Linked DNA regions of Cricetulus griseus. The protein of the gene in region 1 purifies or fractionates together with the protein of each later gene. This does not show direct contact. Links are inferred from orthologs where the notes say so. Each region holds a gene or a part of one and is shown on either strand. Other genes may lie near its edges.

Region 1 (4,031 bases):
ATTTCGTTTGAAAGCAGCAGGCAGAAACAGTTCAAAGTCATTCTGAATGATGAGCTTAAATATGAGTCAATGTAACCAGCTGTTAATTGAGAGCTTTTCCTTTAATAGGAGTGGCCCACTGCACCATGTTCTGCTGGGCCTACGTGCCAACCACCCAGTGGTCTGGGTTCTCAAGAACTCTTCTGGAATTTGTGTTCATAAAGAACAAAACTGTAAAACACTAAGTGGTGATCCTGGGCCCTCCCACGCTCCCTTCCCAGGAGCCCAGGCAATGCCTCTCCATTTCCTGCCTCTCCATTCCCTGCCTTCATGGAAACACAGAGCAGGGCTTGAGGAAGTCCACATTCCAAAGCAGCAATCAGTGAAAGGACACTGGCCATCTCCTAGGGTTTCTCTCTCTTCCCAGTTCCTCACATCAAGGAAGATAAAATTACTCTGTGCTTCTGTCTCAGTCACTGACTTTTCCCCTTTGGAAAAGCCGAGTATCAGTCAAGGAAGAATGCATGACCCCTTGTTAACACCAAGCTGTGTCTGTTGCAATGGAGATTTAGACTCTGGCTACCAAGGGTGCTAGGCACACAGCACCTAAATCATAAATAAGACCAATTCTAGGCCACTTGAGCTTACTGGCAGGAAGTAAAAAGCTTATATTTTTAATATATTTACTTTGAGACCGGTCTCACTCTGTGGCCCAGGTTGGCTTAGAATTCTCCATGTAGCCTGTGCTGGTCTTAAACTTGAGATTCTCAGGAGGCTCTGCCTCCTGGGTGTTAGAATTACAGGCACTGACTCCCACACCCACCTAAGGAACAGTTCTTTGGAAAGCATCTGTTTCTATGTACCGAGTTCCAGCCAGTGCTACGCATGAGACCCCCAACTTGAAAAATAACAAATAAACCAATAAAGCCACTGTACTTATTTTTGATCCAGTGAAATATATCATTGATTAAGAAGCCCTGAAGAGAGTTAGTCATTTTACATAAACGTGATCAATTCTTTTGGTCAATGCATCAAGCAGTTCTCCATTCCTTCTGCCTTGTTTACAATTTAGTGAGCTATCCCTTAAACACTTCTAAGCTTAAACCTGAAAGACCCCCATGAAAGTCTTCCCCAGAATGGGAAATAAGTACAGATTTTAAACTCTTAAACATTGTGAATTTAGGAAGCTAACCCCCATCAAGGATAAATATGACTACCATAGGGAAAAGGGACCTATTTGAAAAGTATTCAGAATCAATGTGCACAGTCTAGCATGATAGTCAATACACTGTAATCCTAGCACCCAGGAGACTATGGTAGAAGGAGTGCCATGAGTTCAAGGTCAGCCTGGGATATGTAATAAGTATGAGGCCGGCCAAGGCTATATTGTAAGACCCTATCTCAAGAAACAAAAGCAAAGCAAAGCAAAAAATACCAGTGACCAAGAAGGAGACAATTGCTAAGTGTGTTTGTTCTAGCCTGGAAAATCACAAGTTCAAAACCACCCTAGACCACATAGGAAGACCTTGTCTCAATCAAAAACAACAAAACACTTCCAATCTCAAATTCCATAATCACCCCTCCCAAAGACTATTGTGGTAGAAAAGCAAGCTTTTGTTATGAAACTTCAATTTTTATGGAAATAGTTGGGGGAGGCAGCTCACACCTGTAATCTTAGCACTGGGGGATACTGAGACAGGATTGAAAAGTGAAAGCCAGCCTGGGCTACATAGTGAGTTCCAGACCTGCCTAGGCTGCAGTGAGACCCCGCCTGGCCCTCCCCCAAAAAACAAATAAATAAAAATATGGAAATACATAAACTTGAAGCAAACAACTTGGAATTTCAGAAATTAGTCATATAAACACTGTGATTGCAATTGTTTTCTTCAAAATAAGCTGGGTCACTAGGTCCTGAGGTCCTCATTATCTAGAAACCCAACTCCCCAAATATTCAATCCATGCATCTTGGTTCCCTGCATTCGTGTTTGAGCAACAGACAGCAGAACAAATCCAACTTTTAAAAGCCTCCAACTAAGGCTCTACACTCTGGGAAAAACATCACCACACCCAAGACTTCCCCAGCCCAGATCTAGAGGTTATTGCACAAATCACATTTGGGCACTGATGAGTCACTTGGCTTGCAAAAGTTTAGAGATTACCGTCGTTCCTCATCTGGGAACATGCGCACTAGAGCCTGGGCAACACTTCTGTGCGGTCAGCACGCAGGGAGTGGCTGTAACCCCTGTCGCTGCTGGACCTGGTGGAGCTCACTGGCACCACAGGGCAAGATCTCTAGTGAAAGGCTGGTAGAGCTCACTGGCAACACACAGCAAAGATCTCTAGTGAAAATCTCAGCAGGTGTACCAAAGGAGCCTGCTGGCTAAGGCAGGGATCCCAGAAGCTGTCAAGAGGGTGCCCAAGCAGCCCCCCAGCGTACCGGGAGGGGGACCTGATTCCTGTGTTTTAAGCTAGGGGCAACCGCTTGGAGCCAACTGCAAGGTGGCTCTTGGGTTCACTTGAGCCAAGAGCTTCCGATGCCTGCCCAGGGCCCGCAGGCATCCCGCTGCCCCAACGATGCTCAGTAAATAGGTCTCGACTAACTTTCTCGGAGTGTTACCCGCGGGTGAGTCACGGCCGTGGACCCGTGCCAGGGACCCTAAAGGTCTCCTCCCGCCAGTCAAGCCCTTTCTTGGTGCACAGAGCAGCACCGGTCCCCCTCGCTCTGCTCCGCGCAGCTCACCTTGGTCAGTGCTCCGCCCGCTGCTCCGCTAGCTGCTGGGCGGCGGCTGGGCGCTTTTTGTACACTTCTCCCCAGCCCGGCCCGCCCTCCCGGGGCGGGGCAGCATCTCCAGGCCAGCAGGCGCCTGCCTGGACCGCGCCCCGCGGACCCCAGAGCTTCCCCAAGCTGCAACAGGGACACTCCCGCCAACCTGTGTCCCTCACCTGTGCCCGGAAAGTGGGCCCTGATCCTCGCACCCAGACACTCTCAGACTCACCGGTTCCCGAGTCTGAAGTTGCCTCTCACGGTCTCATCCTGCCTCCATTTCCTTCACCCAAAGCCTTCCCAAAAAGTGGGAAGTGACTTATGCGGGTGAGGAGAGGTAGGAGCAGGTATCCCTGACGTGACCGAGCTGTAAAAGGCAACCCCGTTTGCATTCATTCCTGCTGAATTTTGCTGTGTCTGTATACCCCAAGTTTTGGTGTTTTGATCTACTCAGAATAGTAGGTTTTTCCTCAGTGGGAATTTATTGATTAAAGAATGAATGAATGAGAGTGGATGAATGAATAAGTGAGTGAGTAAACTGCTTCCTAGAAAGATGTTTGCTTAATGATTAGAGGAGAGTACTGCGTGGCAAGGGATAGTGAAGTCAAAAGAACAGGGCGAAGCTCTGTCTGTATGAGAAGTTGTTACAAGGAACAGCCACCTTTGCAAGAAGGCTGATAACTAGTTTGGAGACATTTATTTAGATAAAAGCTGAGTGATTAGTGGTTAAGGATATTCAAGATGGTTTTTCTTTTCCGGCTTCAGATGATAACATCAGGTAATATCCACCAAACGAGTATGCACCCTGTACTGTGTCTAAGACTTTACATGCATTTATGGAGTTGGTATTGTTTTAATCCTGTTAGTTCTAAAGCACCACACACAAACACACACACACACACACACACACACACACACACACACACACACACACACACACAATGGCTGGTGACAATTTACTAAACAGAAGGACTCTGGCTGGGTAACCAGAAACTTAAAGGTAGTTTCTGTTGACCAGGAATCTCTCTTAATCTGCCCCTAAATGTCAACTACCTAGGACAAAGGCATCTAGTTCCTGGTCAATTCCAACAGGATGTATCAGTTCAAAGCCCCCCTCCCCAGTTCTGCTGACTGTCATATAAAATCCATTAGCATTTCTCCCCCCACCTGGGATGGAGTGTTACCTTGGCAGTTTGAGCCCCAATAAACCTTCCTTTCTACCCATGGAGCAGTCAGTCCAGTTTGGTAGTTTTTCTGTGCCCTTGCTTACAAATGCCATTCTAGACAT
Region 2 (3,519 bases), on another chromosome or scaffold:
ATATATACATGCACATACATAATTAAAGATAAAACACTTCTTAAAATAAACAGTTCCAAAGGCATTTATCCATCTGCCAGCTTGCAGAATTCAAACCCACAAGACTTCTGCCCCCAGAATGCATAGTCCAGACCTCAAAGACAAGGGAGGGCATGAGGTCAAGGCCTAGTCTCTTTCTTGCTATATCCCTCCCTTCAGTGTGATGAGGCTTCCAGCTTTCAAACCCAGAGCTTTCCACACATTCTATCTCCCTGTGAGACCTCTGGCCTCCAATTGGTAGAATTCAGGCTGCCCTGCCCTGGGTGGCTCTCTGTGGGAGGGCCATCTGCATGCCTGAGCTGCCACTCTGTCTTTTCAGGTTGTTTCGGTGGTCAGTTTGTTCTTGGAGTCTACTCTCTGGCTAAGCACAGCCATTCAGTACCACTCTTCATTCAGCTGCTGGGCTCTCCCTGTCTGGTCTCTATCAGGCTTCTGTGTGAGCACGCTCTGTAACATCCTTGTGGTCATTGTCCATAGGGAATGTGCTCAAGCCAATCCTCCATGCTCATTCTGTGTTCGCCTAAACTGAGATGACCCTCCTTTGTGTTGGGGTCTGGCTTCTTAGCTGTTATGTCTCCAAATCTCTAGTCTGTTCCCTATCGTATTACAATGAGACTCTTGAACTTATAGGCAGCCTCACCTGCATCTAGCGCCTCTCTGGCCGCCTCTCTTTCATTTCTCAAGCTTCCTGGCACCAAGACTCAGGCCCCTAGCTTGCCTCACAGATACAGCAGGGATTCTATCTCACTCTTCCAAACTTTCCACTCTGATTCTTCTTCCCAGTAGGAAAGCAGAGCCAGGAGATTTAGTTGGGTTCTTATTGTTGTTGTTTTTCCCTTACTCTTTACTTTTTTGGCTCTTCAAGGGGCCTGCCACCCAGCTGCCAAATAAATTACACACAGAGTCTTATTATTTTTTATGAATGCCTGGCCTTAGCTTAGCTTGGCTTGTTTTTAGCCAGCTTTTTTTTTTTTTTAAACTTAAATTATCCTGCCTACCATTTGCCTCTGAGCTTTTTCCTTTTCTTACTTCTGTGTATCTGACTTTCACTTTTACTCTGGTGTCTGGCTGGTCTCTAGCATCCTCCTCTCCTTGTTCTCTTGCTCCTTCCTCCTCTCAGTTTCTCCTCCCATTTATTTTCTCCATCTGTCTGCCTTTTCTTCCTCCTGCCTTGCTATCAGCCATTCAGGTCTTTATTAGACCAATTAGGTGTTTCAAACAGGCAAAGTAGCACAGCTTCACAGAGTCAAACAAATGCAACATAAAAGAATGCAAAACATCTTCACATTATAAACAAATATTCCACAGCATAAACACATGCAACACACTTTAAAATACTTTCTACAAATAGGAGGCTTTTTCCTGTGCCCTGCCTAGTATGATTTTACTTCCTTCCAGCTCAATGCCCTAGATGACTGGGGTCCACTCTAGAACTAGGGAACCTCATCTTATCTGGGACATGGGTTTTTGTCAGGCATCTTTGCTATCCTTGTAGCTTCACTGTATGGCCACTGTGTTCCTCCCTGATTCCTCTGTTCCTGTGACCTCCAAATGGAAGCATGGGTAGGGTTCCAGGCTGGGTTACTGGATATAGACTGTGAGCCTCCTCGGACATATCTTTCTGTGTTCCAGGCCCCACGCATGGGCACCTTCATTGGAGTCTACCTGCCCTGCCTGCAGAACATCTTGGGTGTCATTCTTTTCCTGCGCCTGACCTGGATTGTGGGGGCAGCTGGTGTTCTGGAGTCCTTCCTCATCGTGTCCATGTGCTGTACCTGTGTGAGTGTTCTCAGCTAGTCCTGGCACAGTTTCTGAGGAGCTGGTACTGGGGGCCCTGAGAGACTACTTTTGGGGAATCCAGGCCTGTCCTGTAGGTCCCCCTCTAGAAACAACCTGCTGCAGAGGTCTTGGGAAAGTTGGGCTGGCAAAGGCTGGGTTTCCCACTAGTCTGAGGACTTTATTTAGCTGTATCTATAGGGGTGGCATTTGTACTTCTGGGGACACCAAGGGCTGAAGTCTGGGGCAGGGGCCTCTCACTGGGTTGTGATAAGACTACCCTGAAAGGATTGTGGGCATTTTCAGGGACACAGGTCTGTAACTTGTTCAAGTCCAAGCTTGAGGGAAAGAATAAACTCAGAACCAACTCATCCCTGCCTTCAGCATGTCTCCTTATTTATAATGACATTTTTTATCATGCACGCCTGGTTTACCTTTGATTATTGCTCACAGTCTGTCTACCAGCCCTACTTTCTCTCCGTCACCTTTCTCTGATGAGAAGTATAATTTTGTTTTAGTTAACCCAAGTGTCACCTGAAAGGACAAGGGTCCTTTTTAGAAGGAATTCAAATAATATGATTGAATGGGAGTCCCTTTAACTCCTGCCCCAGGTCACATGACCACTTGTTCCCTGATAGCGCATACCTAAGTGTCTATCCTAGGGTACCCACTGTCCTTTGACTGGTCATTCCTTGTGGCTGCCTGTTCACCTGTCCCCTGACTGGTCAGTCTGTCTTGCTACTCAAGGCCACCAGTCCATGCTTCCCAACTGGTCACTTCATGTGTCTTTCCTGCCATAGCCACCCTAGGGCACTTGCCTGTATTTCCTCATTCCATGTGGCCACTCCAGGACTGTCCTCTCGTTACTCTGTGTGGGCACTTCAGGTCTGGCCACCCACTTCATTGTGGCTATTTGCACTGCTGATACCCACAAATAAACTTAGTTGAGCCAGAGGGTAGATACAAGGTGAGGTTCCTTGTGCCATGGTGAATGTACATCTAAAGTGTCCCCCTGGTGCCTCATGGGTTATTAGAGACATAATTGGGACTCCTTAGGGGCCAGGCACCTAGAATGAGATTCAGCTTTCAGGGCTGTGCTGTGCTGGGTCTGAAGCCTGTTTTCTGTGACTTTTGGGAATGGATTTGTGGGTTGAGTAGGAAAGGACTGACAGCCAGTCATTTCATGCCTCCTTTGAGGTCAGAAGCCTGCAGCCTAGGCTCAGCATGTTGGAGAATCTTGGGGCACACACTTCCTGAAAGAGCTGTTTTTCTTTGCAGACAATGCTGACTGCCATCTCTATGAGTGCCATCGCTACCAACGGTGTGGTCCCAGGTGAGGGTGCCAGCGCCTGTGGCTCTTCACCATACAGAACAAGAACTACTTGTGTGTGGTTGCCATTTACTGCCCCAGGCTCATGTGACAGTGACATTAACTGTTTGCATCAGGATGGCACTAGGTATTGTGCTGCCCATGGAGAGAAGAGAGTGGCCCTCTCCCCAGAGGCTGTGGTGTAGACGCACCCTCACTGCCTGCCTGCTCTCTGTTATGAGGACAGAAACCACACCCTAGAGATGGGCACAAACATCAGTGGAGGGCAGGTCCTTCTGAAGTTATATACTTTTATAGCTTGTGGTGACACTCCACCAAGCACTACTGCTTTGTCCTCTGCATAAAAGAGTTGGCAGGCCTGTGTCAGTGTCCTT
Region 3 (3,519 bases), on another chromosome or scaffold:
AAGCATAGGGCATTGATGCTGATTTGTGCAAAGGACAATGCAACCAGAGAATAAACGAGCTTGAGGTTTTCATGTCTAAGTCTGTGAGGAATGCACACACACATTGGCCCTCATAGTAAATGTTTGGACATAACGCACCACTTTCATCAATTTATCAGTGTGTGGTTAATTGTGTTTTGTTTATAACTTCTCATCCCCAAAGAGAATTTGTATCATAACCTTTTGGCTAGATGTGTTTTTACTTAAAAATCTTTATACCCACAGTACTTTTGCAATCCCATAAAAAGAAACCATCTTAATGTAGTACACTTTGCTAGATCTAATTATAAATTTTCTAGAAACTAGGAAGAGAGGAGTGGGTTACATAATAGAGAGGTATGGTCCATACATTGCAGGATATAGGGTAGGAGCTCCAGAGAATGGCAGGAGAAATTAAATAAGTTGAAAATATGAAAAACTGTACCAACCAAATATAATTATTTTTGAGAGCTTGTTTGAAAAAAAAAACTGTTTTTAAATGACCAAGACAATGGGGACAGTTGAGGCAGTTTGATTGCTGACTAGATACATGATGTTGTGAAGGGATGGCCAGATCAGTGAGCCATTACTGTTAATAGACACAACACTGAACCTTATGCAATAAAAATCTAGAGGTGCGAATGATGTCGGATTGGCCTAAGTTGTCCATGGTTGAAACCTGGTGACAGGTAGTTGGCAGTTCATTATCCTCTTTTTTTCTGCCATATGTTCATTTGAAAATTTATAAAAGGATTTGTTAGTGGTAAATCTATTTTAATAATTTGCTTCTTATTGCTATTTATCAAATTACTATCAGATTAATCTAGTATTAGTTTCCTTTATTGTGACTATTCAATACTCTTTTTCAAACTGTTTTTATGACTCATTTTCCAATTCTGTCACTTTAAGGTGATGAGCATGGTGTCAGGGTTTGCACCCTTAATCTCGGCAGGTATCTTTTCAGCCACACTTTCGTCAGCACTAGCCTCTCTAGTGAGTGCTCCCAAAATATTTCAGGTAAATGTTTTCATATTATAATTATTATTAGGGGGGTATTAAGATATTTCAAATTTTGGATTGTTGCTATATTCAAATAGGTTGCTTTTATCAACCTCATGTGTTTGATATGTTTACATATACATATCAAAATTGATATCAATTTTATGTATACAAATGATATGCAAATGCATACAGACATTTGTGCACTTTTCTAATGTCAAGTTACATGCTAGAAAAGATGATTTGGGGATCTGGAGAGATGACTCAGCTGTATGGGCTCATGCAAAAGATCCAAATTCAGTTTCCAGTGTTTACATTGGGTGGCCCATAATCCTGTGATTCCAGACACATACATAATTAAAAATGATAGGAATAAATATTGAGGGGATAAAAAGAGTGGGTTTTGCTTCTTGACATACTTAGCATAAAAGTCTAAGGTTCTCATCAAGTATTAGGAGTGCAGTCTAAGACTAATCAGAAGTAATAAATAATGATTTCAGTTAGCATGATGCCAACTTAAATTTCTTATGTGGCTAACATTACATTACTTGTAGTAGGTGCAGTGATAACTAGAATGAATGAACATTGCTTCCTGTAGAGATGACTAAGCAGATAATACTGATTAGGGTCTCATTTTTAATTACTAAGTCAGATAAATGTTGATTTTTCTAGCCTTATTCTTAATATTTTATTTGTAGCCAAAAAATATAGTAATAGTGAGGCATGTAATTTTTAAGGCAGCATCTATTAAGATTTGAAGAAAAGTGGTTAAACTTTATTATTAGGGTTTTTAATCTGCTTTTATGTTTCATATTTGGACTTAGTTTTCATAAAGCCTTAAGTACTGTATTGTACTTACCAACTTCCAATTTTCTTTTTTAATTGTACTGTTATTTGAATGTCTGCTTCAGTGATTCTTCATAGGTAGAGTTTCAAAGTGGGGTGGGCAAGATAAATAAAATCTTAAGCAGTGTTGTAAACCAACTACCCTTCTATTTGAACTATTTACATATCCTTGATAGTCTGTAGGTGAAGCCCTGTGAGACAGGAAAAAAAAAAGCATCAGAAATGAGAGACTGGGCTCCATTCTTTATTAACCTACTTTAATTGTTAGCAGATTTGTATATCTTAATTTTCATGTATTTCATTTTAATGTTTGCATTTTTTTATTAGGCACTATGTAAGGACAATATCTATCCAGCTTTCCAGATGTTTGCTAAAGGTTATGGGAAAAATAATGAACCTCTTCGTGGTTACATCTTAACATTCTTAATTGCACTTGGATTCATCCTAATTGGTTAGTTCTTTGAATGGTATATCATGTAGGTTCTGGTGTGTTTATATATAGCATTACCTATAATCATGAATATTAAATTATTAACCAAACGTGCTTTGATTTAGTGCACTAAATTAATTTCTAATGAAACCAAAGAGTAAGTAAAATACCGCAAATAATAGTGTTGGATATTTATTAAAATTATTGCTATCATGTAAAATTACAGATAGAAGAAATTACACTTTTTTTTTTTTTAAAAAAAAGACTATGTATCTCAAGCTGGCCTCCTATTATTCATAATTGTAGCCAAAGATAATCTTGAATTCCTGATGGTCCTGCCTCTATTTCCCAAGGACTAAGATTGTAGGCCTGTACTACCATAACATTTTCCTAAACTATATACGATGATAGTGTAGGGAAAGGATACTAGTGTACCCCAGGAAGGTATTGCCTCTGTCTGATCATATGTAAAGTGTGGATCTTTCACTGCTAAAGTAACATTGGACTTTCTGAAGGATTTTTGTCTAGACTCTCAATTTAATTGTCTGAAAGTCTGATCATGTCATCCATCAGTTGTAATAGCAAGATTTAAGGAAGTGTCAACCGTGGTAGATTTAGGACTATTTATTATGCTATTTAAAAATAGGAATATTTTAAAATTTGAAGTATTAAACACCATTAAATTTATTTCTTGTTTCTTTTGCAGCTGAATTGAATGTTATTGCTCCAATTATCTCTAATTTCTTCCTTGCATCATATGCGTTAATCAATTTTTCAGTATTCCATGCATCACTTGCAAAATCTCCAGGTGATTTTACATTTTAAAAATTTGTATTAATGGCTTTGATTTCAGAGGAAACAAAATTTCCACTTTTCTAAAATTTGTTGTATGTGAGTTTAGTTCGTTAAAGTTGTTTTCTTTTATAATTATGTCAAATTCAGTGCTCAAAGTTCTCTTTATTATGAAGTATTCTGGTAATAAGCTGTTTCTTTTCAAAACAGTAAAAATAGCATTTGTCGTATTAAAGAATTATTTCCTGTTTTTAAAATTTCTTTACTATTTACTTACCCGATTCAGTTCTCATAACCTTGTCATTGTTTAATAACCTTTCAAAATTTGTTCTTTTTGGTGCTGAGAATTGAACCTGGTGCTTCAAGCATGATAAGCACACGTTTTTACCAATGAGCCTAAGTGCCAGCCCCTAGCATGATTTTTACACAGTGAA

What was found.
Region 2: the proteins of Lgals3 (region 1) and Slc12a7 purify together in Homo sapiens (affinity purification with mass spectrometry; 3 studies listed by BioGRID and IntAct, counting the BioPlex papers as one, with this or other methods). This does not show direct contact. The link is inferred for Cricetulus griseus from reciprocal best matches to the Homo sapiens genes LGALS3 and SLC12A7.
Region 3: the proteins of Lgals3 (region 1) and Slc12a2 purify together in Homo sapiens (affinity purification with mass spectrometry; 3 studies listed by BioGRID and IntAct, counting the BioPlex papers as one, with this or other methods). This does not show direct contact. The link is inferred for Cricetulus griseus from reciprocal best matches to the Homo sapiens genes LGALS3 and SLC12A2.

Annotation. Positions count from the first base shown.
Region 1 is NW_023276807.1:203,415,407-203,419,437, reverse strand, and holds the start of Lgals3 (galectin-3), read right to left. Parts: upstream 2,806-4,031; 5' UTR 2,720-2,805; intron 1-2,719. UniProt on the Homo sapiens protein: Galactose-specific lectin which binds IgE. May mediate with the alpha-3, beta-1 integrin the stimulation by CSPG4 of endothelial cells migration.
Region 2 is NC_048595.1:368,458,995-368,462,513, forward strand, and holds part of Slc12a7 (solute carrier family 12 member 7), read left to right. Parts: intron 1-1,671; coding exon 1,672-1,818; intron 1,819-3,093; coding exon 3,094-3,148; intron 3,149-3,519. UniProt on the Homo sapiens protein: Mediates electroneutral potassium-chloride cotransport when activated by cell swelling. May mediate K(+) uptake into Deiters' cells in the cochlea and contribute to K(+) recycling in the inner ear.
Region 3 is NC_048595.1:181,067,981-181,071,499, reverse strand, and holds part of Slc12a2 (solute carrier family 12 member 2), read left to right. Parts: intron 1-927; coding exon 928-1,035; intron 1,036-2,190; coding exon 2,191-2,314; intron 2,315-2,999; coding exon 3,000-3,101; intron 3,102-3,519. UniProt on the Homo sapiens protein: Cation-chloride cotransporter which mediates the electroneutral transport of chloride, potassium and/or sodium ions across the membrane. Plays a vital role in the regulation of ionic balance and cell volume.